Linked DNA regions of Oryzias latipes. The protein of the gene in region 2 purifies or fractionates together with the protein of the main gene of each other region. This does not show direct contact. Links are inferred from orthologs where the notes say so. Each region holds a gene or a part of one and is shown on either strand. Other genes may lie near its edges.

Region 1 (8,652 bases), on a different chromosome or scaffold from region 2:
TACATGTATTTCCTTGTAATTTCTTCCATTGAACTATTGGTAACAGTGTAAACTCATGGGTGTGTTTCTGAGTGATGTTTTTTTTTAAATGAAAGGTGTCACTATTACCTTTTGATGGTAAAGAAAGGGTAAAAACAGAAATCTGAAAGTGCAAACGTCAGTGCTTGTGGCATAAAAATCAAAGCAGAATGTAAACGAAAGGTATTAAAAAAAAGAGACCATCAGGACTGAATATTACTAGAGTGGATGTTGGAAGAAAAAGATTGATCAAATGTAGTCATAGTCTCAGCTGCAAACTGTAGCTGTTATGCCTTTTTTTGCCTCAAATGTCCTTTTTTTCTTCCAACTGGAGTAATTCACATCTAACTAACCAAACACAACGACATATGTGATTATGTGGGACACTAACGATTTCTTCATTCATGATGATAACTGTTTAAATAGTTAAGAAACATGAATGTCATAGTTCATATGCAGATAAGCCGTTTCTTTTCTTTTTTTCTTTTTTTGAAGGAAGGAAAAGGTGCTTAGAACCTGTTCCACAGTTATTGGAACTGTTTCCCATTAAATCCGGTTCTGTGTTGGCGGTATTTTTTCTGAGGTAAATACAACCAAGATACTCCTGCACTGCATGCAAGCCTTCTTTTCTCTTCAGAGAATGTTTCACCATTGCCTTGTTTTCTTCATTCGTTCACATTTTATGCCTCAAACACCCAGAAAGTCCATCTGTATTTAAATCTCAGTGTTTACTTTAACATTTTTGACTGAATGGATTTATCGCACTTTATCAATATTATTACATTTTAACCTAAAAAAAAAAAAAAAACCTGCAAATGAATTTAGCCATTCCTATGTGCTTCTACTCAGGTGTTTTAATCTTTTTTGTGCTTTTTTTTCTTTTTAATTGTATACTTAACGGCTTAGATGAATTCCACGCGTTTCAAACTGACACAGACAGCGGCATGTTTTCACTTTAATAATATACTCGACACATCTTGAATTTTCTTTTCCGAATTCTGCATCAGCCTGAGGTCTGTCACACAAAGTGGGCGCCTGCTGGTGGGATGTGAGAGACTATTTGATGGCAATCAGACAAATAAAAAACTCTTGAATTCTTCTTGTGTGTGTTTTTTATGGCTAACTCTTCCTGGATTATAATCTGAATCTTAAAATCTGAAACCCCCTTTAGGAGTAAGTTTGTGTCAGTGAAAAACCTTTTTCCTGGATTTCCTCTTGTAAATGTAAAATTTTATCAGCAGAACAACAAAAGCCCTTTTGCAAACTGCCTACATTTATGTACTAAATAAAAAGTAAGGCTCTTTTATCAACATTTCTTTCTAAGTACAACACATATTGAACTTTTTACATCTTATGTGTTAAGAAATCCAGTTATTTATTAAAAATACTGTGATGACTGCATTTGCACCGTCTTGATAGGAAGATTCATCTGCGTGGGAGTGACATTTTTACAGTTTTTCTTTGTATTATGGGGAGTTTTGAGGTGTTGTTTTCTTGGAGTCATATTAACACTAAAGCAAGCACAATTGTTATTTTTTTGACAAAATAATTCAGTCCATTTCTTTAATGCATCTAAATAAGCCCGTTTCATGTCCTGCATACATAATCACATTTGGCATAATTGCACATTTAGATAGATCACTAAAGACAATGTTTTTTTATATTTTTACAGTTTTTTATTTGATTTTCTGCTTTAGAGCAGAGCTATTCCTAAAGATGGACAAAAGCAGTGAAGACTCCAGCCCTAAAGCTGCAACTGTTTGGTTCTGGTTGTCTGAAAAGTAATGCATATACTGGCTGGATAACATAATGGACAACACTTACTATTGATTAAAATACTATTATGTGCTGCACTGTAACCCTTGTGCTATCCTATGACCCCACCCTTACTTTGATGAGTTCTCCCTACCATGATAAAGGTGGAGAGGATTTTATGTGATTCATGGACAACAGTGAAGATCACAAATCATTGAAGAAAAACGGTTCAGTGCACTGTCTAGTGGGGTCTAGATGACCCCACTCCCAATTTTAAAGTGCCTAGGATAGCACAAGGGTTAAAGACACTCCGTTCTCCCACTCTGAGTGCTGCATCCTAAATCATTCAAAGTATTCTTGCTTTATCATCTCGGCTGTGTGAACATCCGGAGCAGGATGTTCTTCCTCTGCTACAAAGTTCTCGGGTAATGACAGCATATTTTCCTGTTTTCTAAATATTCTGAGGTTTCTCACAAGTTTGGTTCGCTTTAGTTAAAAGGGTGTGGCATCTGTGTTTCCATTAGCAAATGTGACATTTGATCTGTTGGACCAAACAACACAGGAAGCTGGGGCTGCTGGACCCAGCTACTATTGGGTGATGGTAGGGTACACCCTGAACAGGTCACCAGTCTGTTCCAGGGTCACACAACCACACACACTCACATGCACACCAGGGGGCAATTTAGACAGGCCATTTAACCTTTGAGCATGTTGTTGGACCCACACATGCACCAGGAGTACATGCAAAGTCCACACAGAAAGGACCCAGGCAAGATTTAAACCACCCATTGTGACAGCACTAACCACTGTGCCACCACATAGCTCCTATTTCTCATAACAAGCTGGGTAGCTCAGTTGGTAAGGTAGAAGGCTGCCATGCAGGAGGGGAATAAACAATGATACATAAATATAAACAATGGCGAGCAATTACCATGACTCAGTGGGGGTCCTTGGGCAAGACCCTTGACGCTACTGCCTACCAGCATGAATGTGCATGAATGATCCCGGTGATGGTCAGAAAGCCCTGCATACTAGCAGCCACACCTCTACCATGAATGAAGAGTGAATGAATAATGGACACAACGGAAGCGCTTTGAGGGTCTGGAAAAGCGCACATAAATCCAATCCATTATTATTTATAATTCTGTTCTAAATAATATTAAATTAATCAAACTGATTTACTTTAACATATTTCAAAATTGCTACAGAACCTTCTTTTCTTTTTGAATGCTTTTGTCCCATCATCACAATTTTTTTTAAGTTTCATATTTTCCTTGTGCTACTACATACATGATGGTGAAACAACTTTTAATATTTTCTCCCAATTGTAAGCATTGACTTGTGCAATTTTATGAACTGTACATGTGCTTTTAGGTTCTTATCAAACCAAATGACAAAATAAAGGAGGATTCCCCATTTGTGAAAACAAGAAACTGCATATTCAGAGGCTTCTCACAGTTTTTATTGACTTTCTTTCTTTGTGTTTCATAAAAATGTAACAAAAAAAAAAACAGCAGAAGATGAAGGCGTACAGAGTTTGTGTCAAAAATCCTTTCAACTAAAACTGTAAGACAAATAAAAAGTCTTTCTACAACTGAGATAAATTCCACGAACTTCCTGTCAGGTGGTTTCATTTGACATGTTTGTAATTTTATTTTCAACGTTAACGATCACAGTATTGGTAAAATACTGGTTGTTGCATTGTCAATCACCTCATATGTCAGAGCACTGAATTGCTGCAAAATGTGCTCAAAATTATATATTGTCTTCAAAAGGTTGAACTTCAATCTGTGATGCATCTGTATTTGTTCTTTCTTGGGCTTATTGATGAACATACATTGTGAACTGTGTGCCCTTTAGCTATGTCGGTGTAGTAAAATTTAAAGTAAAAATTGACCTTTTTACAAAAAAAATGTGTACCAGTGTACTTTTCAGGGTTGGTTACAATGCATGGATCCCTAAGAGTCATGCTTGTGCAGCTCTCCTTTGTGAGGTAAAGTGGAATTCAAAAACACCCTTCATGCTTTGGTGATGATTATTAACTACTGCAGTTGGTTTTTGCACTCTCCAGTTTTTGATGATCCATAATTTTGATGTTCTTTTCAGCGTTTTCCACATTCCTCACCAGCGTCTCCAGCCTCTGTTTGATCTTCTTCTGGTCCTCCAAAGAGCAGCTGATCACCACAACCTGGAACTTCTGATCGATGGGGACAGGCGGTGCTTCGGTCACGCAGGCGGCGTGCAGCGCCATCAGCTGCTGCCGACCGCCTTCCATGTCGACCAGCAACTTTTTTACGATTTCGTCAATCATGGATGTGGCTTTCCGCAGGGCCTCCTCCTGCTGGGGGTTTCTAATGGTGCCAACGGAGATCTCCACCGTCAGAGTCCGGCCCATCAGACGGTTCGCAGTTAAGCTCAACTCTTCCCTTTCTCCTGCAGAAGAAAAGGAAATTAGAGCTTTAATTTGTCATAAAAAATATTATTATTAACCTGTTTTTGACTCATTTCATTTATTTTGATGTATTTTATGTTAATAAATCGTCTTTTGATCTATTTCCAAAGTGTTCCGAGTGGTTTTGTAATTATAGTTATACCATTTTTAGCCCAAATAAAAAAATCCTGTGTCATTTTCTAGGACATAATTTCTGCAGAGCGGCAGGAATTCATTAGAAATCTGCCTCTAAGTTGTAGGTGGGGCCGTAGGCGTGGAGTAAGCCCACCCTTGCTTCCGGACATCTATGTGTTTAAACGCTCTCCTGCAAATTTACAGCCCTTTATAACCCCAACGTAACATTACTGATGCAACTCAAATGGCCTGCAAGAATGGAGATATCCATCCGTCCAGCTTTGAGCCGGAAGCCAACTCGGATGAGGAAAACAAAAGACCTACATGGATCTATTTGTCCGCAAGTGGATGCATCAGAATGGAGCAGAGAAGAGCAGGACGTTTGTGGTCTGCTGTATTAGCTTCTACGTCAAACCTACAAGCTTTTTCAAATGGCATTTTTGCTTTTGCAATTTGAATAAAGAAATACACCGAAATGGAAATATGAGCTGAATTTTCTTTCTATATGTCCTGCATTTTGAGAAAAACACCACAACAACATGTTAAAAACACCAAAAACACAATTTTCCTGAGTGGGTCTTTAAGATTTGATATAGGGGCAGAAATATAACAAGAATTTCATTTTTTTTGTTCCTTTCTATTCATGAAAATGTGTGGACTTATGTTGAATATGTAAATATAATATGGTACCATGAAAAGAACAGAATTTTTCTTTCTACTTATACCATGAAAAAAAGTTTATATCTTGTAGTAAACTTGCTATGTTGGACTCAGAAGTATAGTGTGTTCCTTTTAGAGGGTTTAATAGAAAGACACAGAGGTGAAATGGGACCTCTATGGGTGAGACATGTGATGCATTTTGGGTGGAGCACATTGTTCTTTTCAGTTTCTTGACCATCACGCAAAGTTTTCCTTTTATCACCACAGGATCAAAGTAGCAAAAAACAGGAATTAAGATTACTGGAAAGTTAAGCCACTCTTCACTGGTATTAAGCAGCGGATGACTTGTGCTCTTATGTAAGTTGTGGGAGAGAATTAGCAGCCTCACCCGCACAGATGTTACGCATTTCTTGACTGTTCTGGATGGATTGAATCATTTCCAGGATGCCTTCTCTTTCCTGCTCCAGGGCGGATGCTGTTTCTCTTAAAGCCTCCACCCTGACAAAAACAAACATCCGTCAAAAAAAAACAGCTTTTCTTTTTCCTTCCAATCACGTTCAGTTGTTAAAGTTACGCCACAGTGTCAAACGAACGAGAGCACCTCCAAAGAAGACGCGCATGGCGAGGCCCGTTATTGTACCTGATTTCCAGCTGATCCAGAGTTTCCAGCAGTCTTCCGGAGCGATCAGCCATGGACAGTGTCCTGCTGAACTTGCTGCAGACCGCTTCGTTCATCTTCGCCTGGATTTTCGCCTGAGCCATAATAATTAGTGCTGCAGTGCCGAGTTTCTGTAGTCCGATCAGTCAATCCAAAGAGTGAGCGGCGCTTTAAGCTCTCCGCCTGACCAGTAATTCCTCAGGCTACAGGCAGCAGCGCCCCTGGGACAACATTTCCTAACATGGGCTTCAGCTTCCTCCTCTTCCTCCTCCTCACAGAAACTTCCCGAGGAACCCAGAGAGGAGGCTCCAACCCAGACAGGGGGCTCCAACAGGGGGCTCTGAGTGAGGAGCGCTTTAGCTTTAAAATGCTTTATTTGAATTTCCATAAAACAACAGATTTTATTTTACACAAGATTTTATATCTGGGAGATAAAAGGGAACAGGGGGAGAGAAAGCTTATTTTTTCTGGAACTTTTATATAATTAGGAGGCAAAAAAACAATTGTCATAAATTGATTAGAAAATAAAAATAAACTAAAAGACGAATACATCAAGTAAATATAAAATAATAGTATTGTCCAATAACTGTTTTCTGCATGATTTGAATAATATTTTTGCAGAGTTCATACAGGTTTGTTAAACATGACATTTGCAACTCTCATCAATTTGTACAAGTGGCACTTTTTCATCATTTTAGTTAAAAGAAAAAAGCAAAGACACAATGTAACAAAACCACCTTTAGGGGGCGCTGATGAGGTGACAGGTGCTTGTTACCATTATCTCTATTGCTTCAAGCCACAAAGATAGATTCCATCTATTTTACCAACCAACAGGTCTCCAAACTGTTTTTTTTTTCTGTTCTCCGAACAAAATAATCAAATGTAACATTCAATGACCAAACGTCATGCTCCGTTATTATATCTTTATTAAAGAAAAATATTTTCACAGAGAGTACTTTTTAGGAAAACCGTTCTGTCCCTGTTATTCACTCACACTTTTACACAAAAAACCTTTTTCTTTAAGTTGAACTCATGTAATGATGTTTCATACAAACTTTTCTGTAGAAAAAATACAATTTCTGCTCATTCATTTCTGACGTCTGAGCAGCCGGTAAAGAGAATCCTCACGTCTGTAGTGAAACCAGAGAGGTGGAGGAGCGGTTGGTCTGCGGTCACGAGGTCAGCCCAGGCATCTAGCTGTGTCACCACAATCCTGTGTGTGTGTGTGTGTGTGTGTGTGTGAACACGTGACACATAGCTTCAATGTTTAGAACGTCTGACTTTTTATAAACCCTCAGCTTCTAACTAGCTTTAAAACCCACTGTCTGCCCCAAGAACTGCTGACTTTGGCTGCTAAAGGAAGTAAATCAATTCAAATAATTCATGACTTTTATTTATAACTTCTGAAAACAATGACCTTGAGTAAAAAAGGTCAACGTGACAGGTGAACAACAGGAACTACTTCATTTAGAAAGCACTTAGAACTCCACAAGACTTCTCTGAAGAGCTTCCTCCAACTCTGCGGGAAAGAAAAACAAGAAAAAAAAAAAAGTTGAAAATGACACTCCATTATAAAACAACATAAAAACAGCAGAGGCCATTTTAAAGACCCACTCCGATCATCTTTGAAGCTATTTTCAAAGTGATCTTTTAATCCCGTTTATGCTGCTTTTAGTCAAAATACAAAAAAAGCCTGTGTTGTTTTTCTTAGGACATAGTTTCTGCAGAGCTGAATTGTGGGCGGGACCACTGGCACGGAGCAACTCCGCCCCCTTTCCCTTTCGGAGCGCTAGAAGCAGGGAGCTTGTGGGCCGCCCAGTGCAGTTTCAACAACACAAATATGACTTTTTATTTTTTTACAAATGCAAATTTGAGCTTAATTTTCTTAATATGCGTTTCCATCATTAGAAGACATGTTGGAAAAAAAACATTTTCATTGTAGTAGGTCTTAACATTCAAATCTTTTTGACATGTTGGCTCATTTTACAAAAACAATGATCTATAAAAAATACCAATCTCTAAACTTTTTACATTTTAAAATATACAGTTTGTACTAAACTAATAATTACTGCTTTTTTATTATAGCTTTTGAAAAAAAGGTTGTTTTTTTTTTTGTTGTGAAAACAGACCTGCTGACTCTCTGGCTTCTTCTGCACTTACAGGCAGAGCGTGTTTCATCTCATCATCAGAGGTCTCTGCAACAGACAACAAAACTGATTTTTTAATCGGATCAAACATATGGTTTTTCAAACTGATAGAATTACTTCAACTCCGTCATGTTTATTCATGACACGTTACTGTAAATGTTTACCCATGGCAGTTTCATCTCTTTCGTTGTTGATCTGATCGTCTTTCAGAAACTTCCCCAGAGTTTCATCCTGGATCTCTGTGAATCATGAAAAACTGGAATCAAAAGTGCTGCAGTCTCCAAACACAAACGCTAAAGTCAGCCTCCTTTGGTGAACTTACGGCGTTTGTGTGCTTTGACCTCCACACGAGTGGGCTCTGCCTCTGAGCTCTTCCTGGAGCTCCTGCAGGGCTCTAGCGTGCAGTGACAGTGATGATAGTGTTTATGGAAACCTGGAACACCCATATAACTCTGGTGACACATGTTGCATTGTACTTCAAATGTCTTGTCCAGGTTCAGGCTGGGGTGCTTTGTGTGCACGTGAGTCTTGATCTGCGCGTACGTTGGCACGGACACGCTGCAGGGAGGACACACGTACTGGCATTTCCCCTCTGCAGCCAACTCTTTCATGCATCTGGTATAAACCCCCGTCACTGTTTCCTTGTTGCCTTCTGAAGACATGCAGGGACAGTCCAGAGGAAGCATCGCAGCAGCCGGTTGGAGAACGTCGGCGTCGTCCATGCAGCAGTAATCCCTGCTGTGAAGGCTCCGGTAATGCTCCAGGAGCTCGGCCTCAGAATCCATCTGCATGCTGTCGCAGAGGCCGCAAAAGTACCAACTCTTTATGTCCCCGCCGTGCTCGTTCGT
Region 2 (8,652 bases):
GAGTGACATTCCACCATTTTCACTAGAATCATATCAGCATCACACGATTTACACTCAAGTTACCTTTACAGGCCACATTTTTAGCCTCAATAGATGGTTTTGAAATGCACCATCTGCATCCCTTTAAGAAAGGAATGCTTTTCCACTATTGCCATGGTTACCACAGAAGTGTGGATGGAGGAAGAAGAGCAACCTACTGTGTGGTTTTGACACCATCACCTTTCAAAGATCCACAGAAATGCTTTTAGATGTGTGGGATTCAGGATGAAGGCAGGATTAAATGTAGCCAAATCTATAGTTTCTTTAAGTATTTTTTATTTTATAACCCTTGTGCTATCTTCTTGCGCTGAGCAAGCCAATACCTGTCTTTTGGGGTCCAGATGACTGAACCTTTTTTCTTCTTTTGTGATCTTCACTGGTGTCCATGGATTACATGAAATCCTTCCACCTTTATCCACCTTTGTCATAGTAGGGAGAACATGTCAATTAGGGTGGGGTCATCTGGACCCCACAGGATAGCATAAGGGTTACTGGGATTAACGATGTAAAGTTGGTTACAATCTAAAGACCGTGTCATACAGCCGCTACATACTTTTTCCTGATTTTCCTCGTATGAAATTTCGGTCTTTCGTGACACATTCAGGACATTCGTCATTCATAAGTGCTTCTTGCGTTCGTCGATGTGCATAGATGTCCGTCGGTTTCAGCTGACGGTCTTTGGGTGAATTTGGTTTTGAGCTATTCAAAATTTTCGGGCGGTTGAGATTTACACTGTTTGGCGTATACTTACATAGAATGGCGTATACTTATATAGTGCTTTCTACCTTCTTTCAAAGGCCCAAAGCGCTTAACAGTCACAGTCCCATTCACCCATGCTCACACACACATTCACACACTGGCACCAACCTCCCACCAGAGGCAAGGTGGGGTTCAGTGTCTTGCCCAAGGACACTTCGACTCATGGGCGTGCAAGGCGGGAATCGAACGCGGAATATTACAATTATGGGTCGACCGCCCTACCGCTGCACCACGGCCGCCCATTTACTGTTGTTTAATTATTACGCAAATCTTACGCAATTGTGCGTGATTTTTGCGAGATGCATATGCAAATTTGTGTCTTTCCACAACCGTTCCACGAATGTCTAACAGATTTTTCACGCATGAACCACCGATGTGTAACTTTCATATTGCGTGTATGGCGCACATTTCATGTTAAAAATATGTAATTGACACATGAATTTTGGGCCAGGTTTGGCTTTTACGTCGATTTTACGTGTTATTTGCGTGGTTCATTCGTACTCCCTCTTCGGTTTTAGGGTGATTCATTTTTGATACATCTGTGAAAATTTCACATAAAGACCACAACTTTCTCAATCTTTTCACGTATGACCAATTTTCATCCGTGCAATATGCGAGAAAAAACTGTGACACGGCCGCAAGAATTTTCTCAGATTTTGTTTTGTTTCAAAGGCCCTCACTTTATGATCAACCTGGCAGGAGAAAAAGGTGTTTAAGTGGGTGAAGAGGTCTAGTCTTCCCCTTATATATCTAAGACTGTATTCAGACTGGACATTTGGTTCGCTTAAAGTGAACCAGAGTTTGTTTCCCCCGAAAATCCAGAATAAATTTTCATTATGGTCATACCCAACCGGCCCCTGGTCCGGGAGCAGAAACCGCTCTCGGACCCATCTCTCAAGGTGGTCAAAACAGGAAAGTACAGTAGACGGCAGTCTGAATACAGACTAAGTGCAAACTTCAGGGCTCGATCTGGACCAATGGACTTTTTTCAGTCTGAACACACCGTCAAAGTCCAAGTCATTGTTGTTTTCCATTAAACTTACCGTAGGATAATTGATCATAGTTTAACCTCTGAGAAAAGACATATCTTTCAGCATATTTTACCATCAGAGGTATCATCGATCTACTGTTAACTTCATAAAGTGAAACCGTCTGAGAGATCCAAAGCTTTACTCCTCCTCACCAACTTTATTGGAGACTGCAGATCTTCTTTGGAGAAAAACTGTACTAGAAGTCCGGATCACATGACTAAGCTCTCAGATAAATGGTAAATGACAAGCAAACACAAGACACATTTTCAAATGTGAAAAAACTGTCAGAACAACAGTTTTTTTCCTGTAATTTTGTAATTTAACAGAGCTGCTCGTGGATTTGTTGCATTCAGTTCGTTGCATCCTCACATTTACAGCCTGTTGTTGCATTGTGACACATTATCTCCTCTGTGTCACGATACTGATGACTAACTTGTGTTGTCCATCAGGTCTGAAGGGTGGAAGTGCTCCGGCTGGCGATGGACAGGGCACCAACTTCACCTACACCTTCCATGGAGACCCTCATGCCACCTTTGCCACTTTTTTTGGTGGCTCCAACCCTTTCGAGATGTTCTTTGGGCGCAAAGCCAACGGACGAGACGACGAGGACATGGATGTGGATGGGAACGACCCCTTTGGCTCCTTCACCAGCTTCAACATGAACGGCTTCCCTCGGGACGGCCACGTGGGCCTTGGCGGGCAGCAGCGTCGGAAGCAAGACCCCCCCATCGTGCATGAACTGAGGGTCACCCTGGAAGAAGTCTTCCACGGCTGCACCAAGAGAATGAAAATCTCCCGCAAAAGGCTGAACCCAGACGGCAGGACCATGCGAACGGAGGATAAGATCCTCACCATTGAGATCAAGAGAGGCTGGAAGGAGGGGACAAAGATCACATTCCCACGGGAAGGCGACGAGTCGCCCAACACCATTCCCGCTGACATCGTCTTCGTCATCAAGGACAAACCTCACCCGCACTTCAGGCGAGAGGGCTCCAACATCGTGTATCCTGTTCGTGTGAGCTTAAGACAGGTGCGTTAGTTCTATTTCAGTCTGGTACATGGATTCGTCATATCGGCGAGTTTATGAGCAAGTTCACTTTGAGTGGAGAACAAAGCTCCAAGCTTTGGACGCCAAACAGCTGCGTTACAATCAATAAACCGGAGGAAGTCTACCTCAAACCCCGTACTGAATGAACATAGTGCTGATCTACACACAAACACTTATGCAACCGACATCATCCACATGGAGGAATGGGATCTTCACGACCCTTGCAAGGCGACGGTCGCCCACACGCAACATGTACTTTTCTGGTTCCTCCCACTCTCCTCGGCTCTCAGTGAGAAATTTCACAGCCTCGTCTCTGAATGTCTGATCGCCGCACGCTAACCACACAAGATCAGCCCATTCCCGCAGTGAAACACACCCAAAAAAACTATCCGTCACCATGACGGCAACGGTGAAACTGTAGACCGAGACGAGAGTTTCAGGTCGTTTCACTGTCAGAGGTTTTCCTTTGTTTTCCAAAAGTTTGAACCGGAATAAGAAACAGTTAAACTAAAAGATAAGGCAGTCTAGAGCAGACAAATGACCTGATGATGATTGTTGAGGTTAGTTTGAGCACAACAGTGCAAAGCGGTGTAGCCTCAAACTCTGACAGTCTCATCATCATCACACAGGTCAAGAGTGCAGCACTCACACTTGGACCTTTGTATCTAGACAAATGGAGGAGACAGATTCCATCAAGTTCTCGTGAGAAACAGCTCTCCACAAATAACATCTGATGATAAAGAAGCTTCAAGATGCTTGAGAAATGTCAGATCACAGCTTTGTCACAGTAACACTGCTGTAGCTCCAGATCAGTACAAGTAATTATACATTGCAAAAAAGTATAAAAGGAGACTATTAAATACATATCTGCTTTGTAATGGGTCTAAAGTGATTATGCTGTAGAAAAACTAAGTCATACCCTAACAGTTTCCTGCTAACGTCTAAAAACATGTCATCTATGAAGGCTTTCACCTTTCCATTGGACTGTGACACCTCAAACCCAACGCATGATTCGACTCCCCCATGATTATTTTAACCCACGCCCATCATCTAGAATGGAAGCCCCACTCCGATCATATTTTGATCTATTTTTAAAGCGTTCCCAGTGGTTTTTCAATGATGATTATGTGGTTTCTAGCCAAAATCTAAAAACCTGTATCATTTTCTAAGACATAGTTTCTGCAGAGTGGCAGGAGTTCATCTCTGATTGTGGGCAGGACTGCTGGGTGGAAGTAACCCTCCTCTTACATCCCATTATCCCTTTGTTTACACTCTCTCTCACTAGCTTACAGCCCCTCACACCCCCAAACTAACATTTGCGGTGCAACAAAAATGGCGAGCAATGTTGGAGCTATCGAGGCGTCCAGTTCAGATCCAGATTCCAGCTCAGACCAGGAAAACAATGATGCTCATGGATCTTTTGGACTGCAGGTGGATGATCAGAATGCAGCAGAGCAGGAAGACTTTGGTCCCCCCAATTTCTGTTGCTGTATCACAAACATAAGCTTTTTCAAACAGGGTTTTCCTCTGCTCCAGATTCGCAACAAATTCAACAAAGAAATACTCAGAAATGCAATTAATCTGAACTTTCTTTATATATGTCCTCCATCATCAGAAAATGCTACAATAGCATGAAAAAAAGCACAATTTTCATTGGTGTGTGGGTCTTTTAGGAGATGTGATGCAGACTTTAGAGAAAACTCACTCCATAAATAAACATACAGTTTCCTAAACACTTTACGTCACTGTAAAATAACACTTGGCCTTTAAAATATATTTTATATTTCAAGTGAAAAAGCTATTAGCAGATTTATTTTTTACATTTGATATACTGTAGTTTTTTAAATAAATCATTGTTTACACAGTTTCAGCTGATACAGAAGAACGTATAGTTTAGGGTCAAGACAATAGCTGAAGGTTTTATTCCGTGCATTTCAGTTCTCACCTGCAGACGACCACAGGCGTGTTTCTACTGTCTAACTGGGCGTCCTTTTGTTTACTTTGCAGTCCTTGTGTGGATGCTCGGTCACCGTGTCAACAATAGACGGGAAGACATGCAACATGAAAATCACGGATGTAATCAAGCCTGGCCTGAGAAAAACGGTGACGGGACAGGGTCTACCTTTGCCCAAAAACCCGGAGCAGAGGGGCGACCTGGTGGTGGAGTTTGACGTGAACTTTCCGGATGCGTTGCCTGGCAACGCCAAGGACGTCCTGAAGCGGCACTTGCCTGCTTAGTGCGAGGCAGCAGCATGACGGCGCTCAGACCCTGAGAGGAGACACAGCCGCTGGAGACCAGCTGTGACGGTACGCAGACGGACGCCCAACCGACGAATGTGCAATTTCTATTTTTGAGCTTTTCTAACTGTCACGCATGCTGCCAAACTGATACAAGTGCAATGAAAGACTGTCTGGACTGTTATGTACTGGGTTGGATGGAAGCTGGCTTTTGCCACAGTCACAGCAGATGACGTTTGGTTGCAAAAATATATTTGCCAAAAAAAATCTTACAGAACTCCTGGAAGAAATGTATTGCCAAATGAAACCTTGATTCTTATAGGTCTGACCTGATTCAGTGACCTGTGTGAAACTCTCTTTAGTGTTTTATTTTGATGGATTCTGAAGCTCTCTTAATATTTGTGTGCAAGATATCCAAGAGGTATATGGCTGTATGCAACAAGTGCATTGTAGGCAAAGACTTTCAAGGCCGTGTCACACAGCCACTGCGTACATTTTGCGCATTTTCTACGTGTGAAATTTGAGTCTTTCGTGATCCAGGCGTGATATCCATTCGTGTTTCTTGGGTTCGTCATTCATCGATGCACGCAGATGGTGTGGAATTATGCAGTTTACGCATATTTTACGTAGTTTAATTATTACGTGAAGCTTACACACTTACGCGTGGTTCGCAAATTTGTGTATTCCCACGACCGCTCCACGTATGTCTAACAGACTTTTCATGCATGTACAACTGACGTCTAACTTTCCTATCGCGTATACGGCGCACATTTCATGTTAAAATTATGTAATCGATGCACAAATCACTAATAAATTGCCATGTAAACAGCGCAATAATCTCACACGGTTCATGTTCTACGTTGATTTACGTGTTCTGGTCCAGATGACCCCACTCCCAATGTTAACGTTGGAGGTGGGGTCATCTAGACCCACTAGACAGTGCTCTGAACCTTTTTTCATCAATGATTTGTGATCTTCACTGGTGTCCATGGATTACATGAAGTCTTTTCACCTTTATCCACCTTTGTCATGGTAGGGAGAACACGTCAATGTAAGGGTGGGGTCATCTGGACCCCACTAGATAGCACAAGGGTTATTCAGTTACGACCAATTTTCCTCCGTACGCTGCAATATGTGCTAATTATACGTAGTGGCTGTGCGACACGACCTTTTTAGATGATTCTTTGTTGTTTCAGTTATGGAGTAGAAGCTTCTGCAGATTTCTCCTCCGTGAAATCAAGTGTGTATTAACTGTACTTGATTTAGCATTGCTCCTACTCTTTGTTTTATTGGTAGTCTGTGTAGCATTTCTCCAAAAAAGGAAAATGACTTCATGAAAACAGGTTCTTCACAGCAGCGGGAGAAAAGTAAATGATATCTATTTTGATAGCTTACTGTGAATATTTTGTTGTTGGTAACCAGATATGTACATTTTGGATATGCAAACATCAGAATAAAAAAACCCCCACTGTTTAAGGAAGAGCTATGATGACATAATTATGACTGTGTAAATATAGCTGCCAGCTCTAAGCTGCTTAGTGTCAGCCTCTGACACAGGAGGCCTCTGCCCCACCAGGGGACGCCACATCACCCATCGCAGTGTGGGGGTCTGGAGACGAACCCTGGAGGGGCTTTCTGTGAGCGATGCTCTCCAGTGCAGCCCTGAGAACGTCTTCTGCAATGTTTGCATCGCATGGTAACTGCATGCAATAAACGGAATCACTTTTTGGAATTGATCGTCAAGTTCTAATCAGTGGGTTTGGAAATGAAGAGTGGTAACTTCATTTTTTTGTTTTAGATGCATTAATTATTAAATTTAATCTAAAAACGTGGTGAACGGAAAATTCTGACGGTCTTAATCGTTTTAGCCAAAATGGAGAATTTTAAAAACTAACTAAATAAATAAAGGTAAGGGTCAAAAATATGCTGTTGAGTCAAAACTTCAGACTATAAAAGTGAAATTCTACAGTAAAAGTATAATATTCTGAACAAACCTTTGAGGGAAAAAAATAATTTTGTTCTAATTAAGTTGAAAAAATTAAGAATAAAGTAAAAATTCTGTGTTATATATTTTTATTTTGATAAGTCAGAAGTTCAATGCACTTTTTGTCTGAATCTGTTTATGGTGATGAGGCATTTATGCTGGGAAATAAGTCATTTTTGGCTTGTGCTGTTTTTGTCCACACGTTTGAAAAGCTGCGTTTAAAATAAAATAAAGCCAAGGCAGTTTTATAGACATTTTCAGAATAATTCTCCTAATTGACAGTAATTAAACAAGAGTCCTCCAAAGGGATATTTTTCACCGATGTGACAGGAAAGACATGGTTTGGATGCCGTTATTTGGTTCTGTTTAGATTCTGCAACACTTTATAGACACTTCATTGTGTTATGTGTTGTATAGATGTAGTGCTATTTGTTGTCTTTTGTTATCTGTTCTTTTATTAATATGATCTTGTTTTTTGAGCTGTGGTAAGAAATCCTTTTCCCTGTCTTGGGATCATTCAAAGTTCCATCTATATATCTATAAAATAAGCAACAGTTTGATTAAAGCTGCAAAAACTCGTTTTTGTAGCTCGAGAACTTTGATTGACCTTTTCTGGTCATAGTAATAATGGTTAGAGTCAAAACTCGCTAAATAGTTTGGTTGTTATATTTAAGTAACATGTTCAGTAAGTTGTGGGCGTTCATTTACATTTTCAGTAAAATACATTAAATTAAATGATACAAACTTCCTGAGTACGTCTTAAAAGGCTCCTGCTGCTACACTTGAAGTTTATTTGATGAAGTATACTTGAGTATAAGTAGAAAAAGTCTACTATAGACCATGTAGTTGGAAGTATTCTAACTAAATACTTCTTCAGACTACATTGGAACATTTTAAGTTTTACAATAGATACTAAATAAATAGTAGCCTTCAAGTGTACTACTTGTAGTAAGTACACTTGTAGTACTTTTTACTGAAGGTCCATTTGTTATAATGATCAACAAACAGATACAACATTTCAGGGAGCTTTATTATTATTTCCTCTGGATCTAACACCTGTTGTTGTTGTTGTTTGGACTTTGCCTCGCTGCGGGGGGGGGGCTCAGCAAAGGTGGGCGGCGCGCAGGTGCACGACGGCCCCTGATCCCGGCCCGTCCCACTGCGCCTGCGCACCGCGGCACGCTGACAGACAAACAGAGGAGCTTTTGTTAGTCGAGGAGCAGCAGCAGGTTGTGAAGAGCTTTACTCCTCTTCCTACTCCCTTTAATTACGAGTCAGGTCTCCCTAAAAACAACAACAACCCGGCTTTAAAGCCGACAGCAGGCGCGCGACGAGAGGAGGACCCACACCGACTGAGGAGAGAGAGGAGGAGGAAGTGCAGGAGGAGGACAGGAGGAGTCTCTCTCGGAGCTCCAGGTCAATGTGAGATCAGCGTCCCGGACTGTTCCAACTGCCGAGAAGGGAGAGACGAAAAGGCCGCCGAGATGCCGCTGGGACCCTGGAGGAAGAAGAACAAGGCGAAGGAGCACCTGATGGACCACGAGGAGGTCGGC

Evidence for each region.
Region 1: the proteins of dnajb4 (region 2) and bag2 purify together in Homo sapiens (affinity purification with mass spectrometry; 4 studies listed by BioGRID and IntAct, with this or other methods). This does not show direct contact. The link is inferred for Oryzias latipes from reciprocal best matches to the Homo sapiens genes DNAJB4 and BAG2.

The regions. Positions count from the first base shown.
Region 1 is NC_019873.2:24,429,181-24,437,832, reverse strand, and holds bag2 (BAG family molecular chaperone regulator 2), read right to left. Parts: upstream 5,916-8,652; 5' UTR 5,762-5,915; coding exon 5,640-5,761; intron 5,498-5,639; coding exon 5,388-5,497; intron 4,207-5,387; coding exon 3,812-4,206; 3' UTR 3,218-3,811; downstream 1-3,217. Other genes in the region: E3 SUMO-protein ligase ZNF451, read right to left, coding at 7,136-7,176, 7,787-7,852, 7,969-8,043, 8,127-8,652. UniProt on the Homo sapiens protein: Co-chaperone for HSP70 and HSC70 chaperone proteins. Acts as a nucleotide-exchange factor (NEF) promoting the release of ADP from the HSP70 and HSC70 proteins thereby triggering client/substrate protein release.
Region 2 is NC_019875.2:4,286,044-4,294,695, forward strand, and holds the end of dnajb4 (dnaJ homolog subfamily B member 4), read left to right. Parts: intron 1-2,278; coding exon 2,279-2,859; intron 2,860-4,884; coding exon 4,885-5,115; 3' UTR 5,116-5,382; downstream 5,383-8,652. Other genes in the region: PDZ domain-containing protein GIPC2, read left to right, coding at 8,584-8,652. UniProt on the Homo sapiens protein: Probable chaperone. Stimulates ATP hydrolysis and the folding of unfolded proteins mediated by HSPA1A/B (in vitro).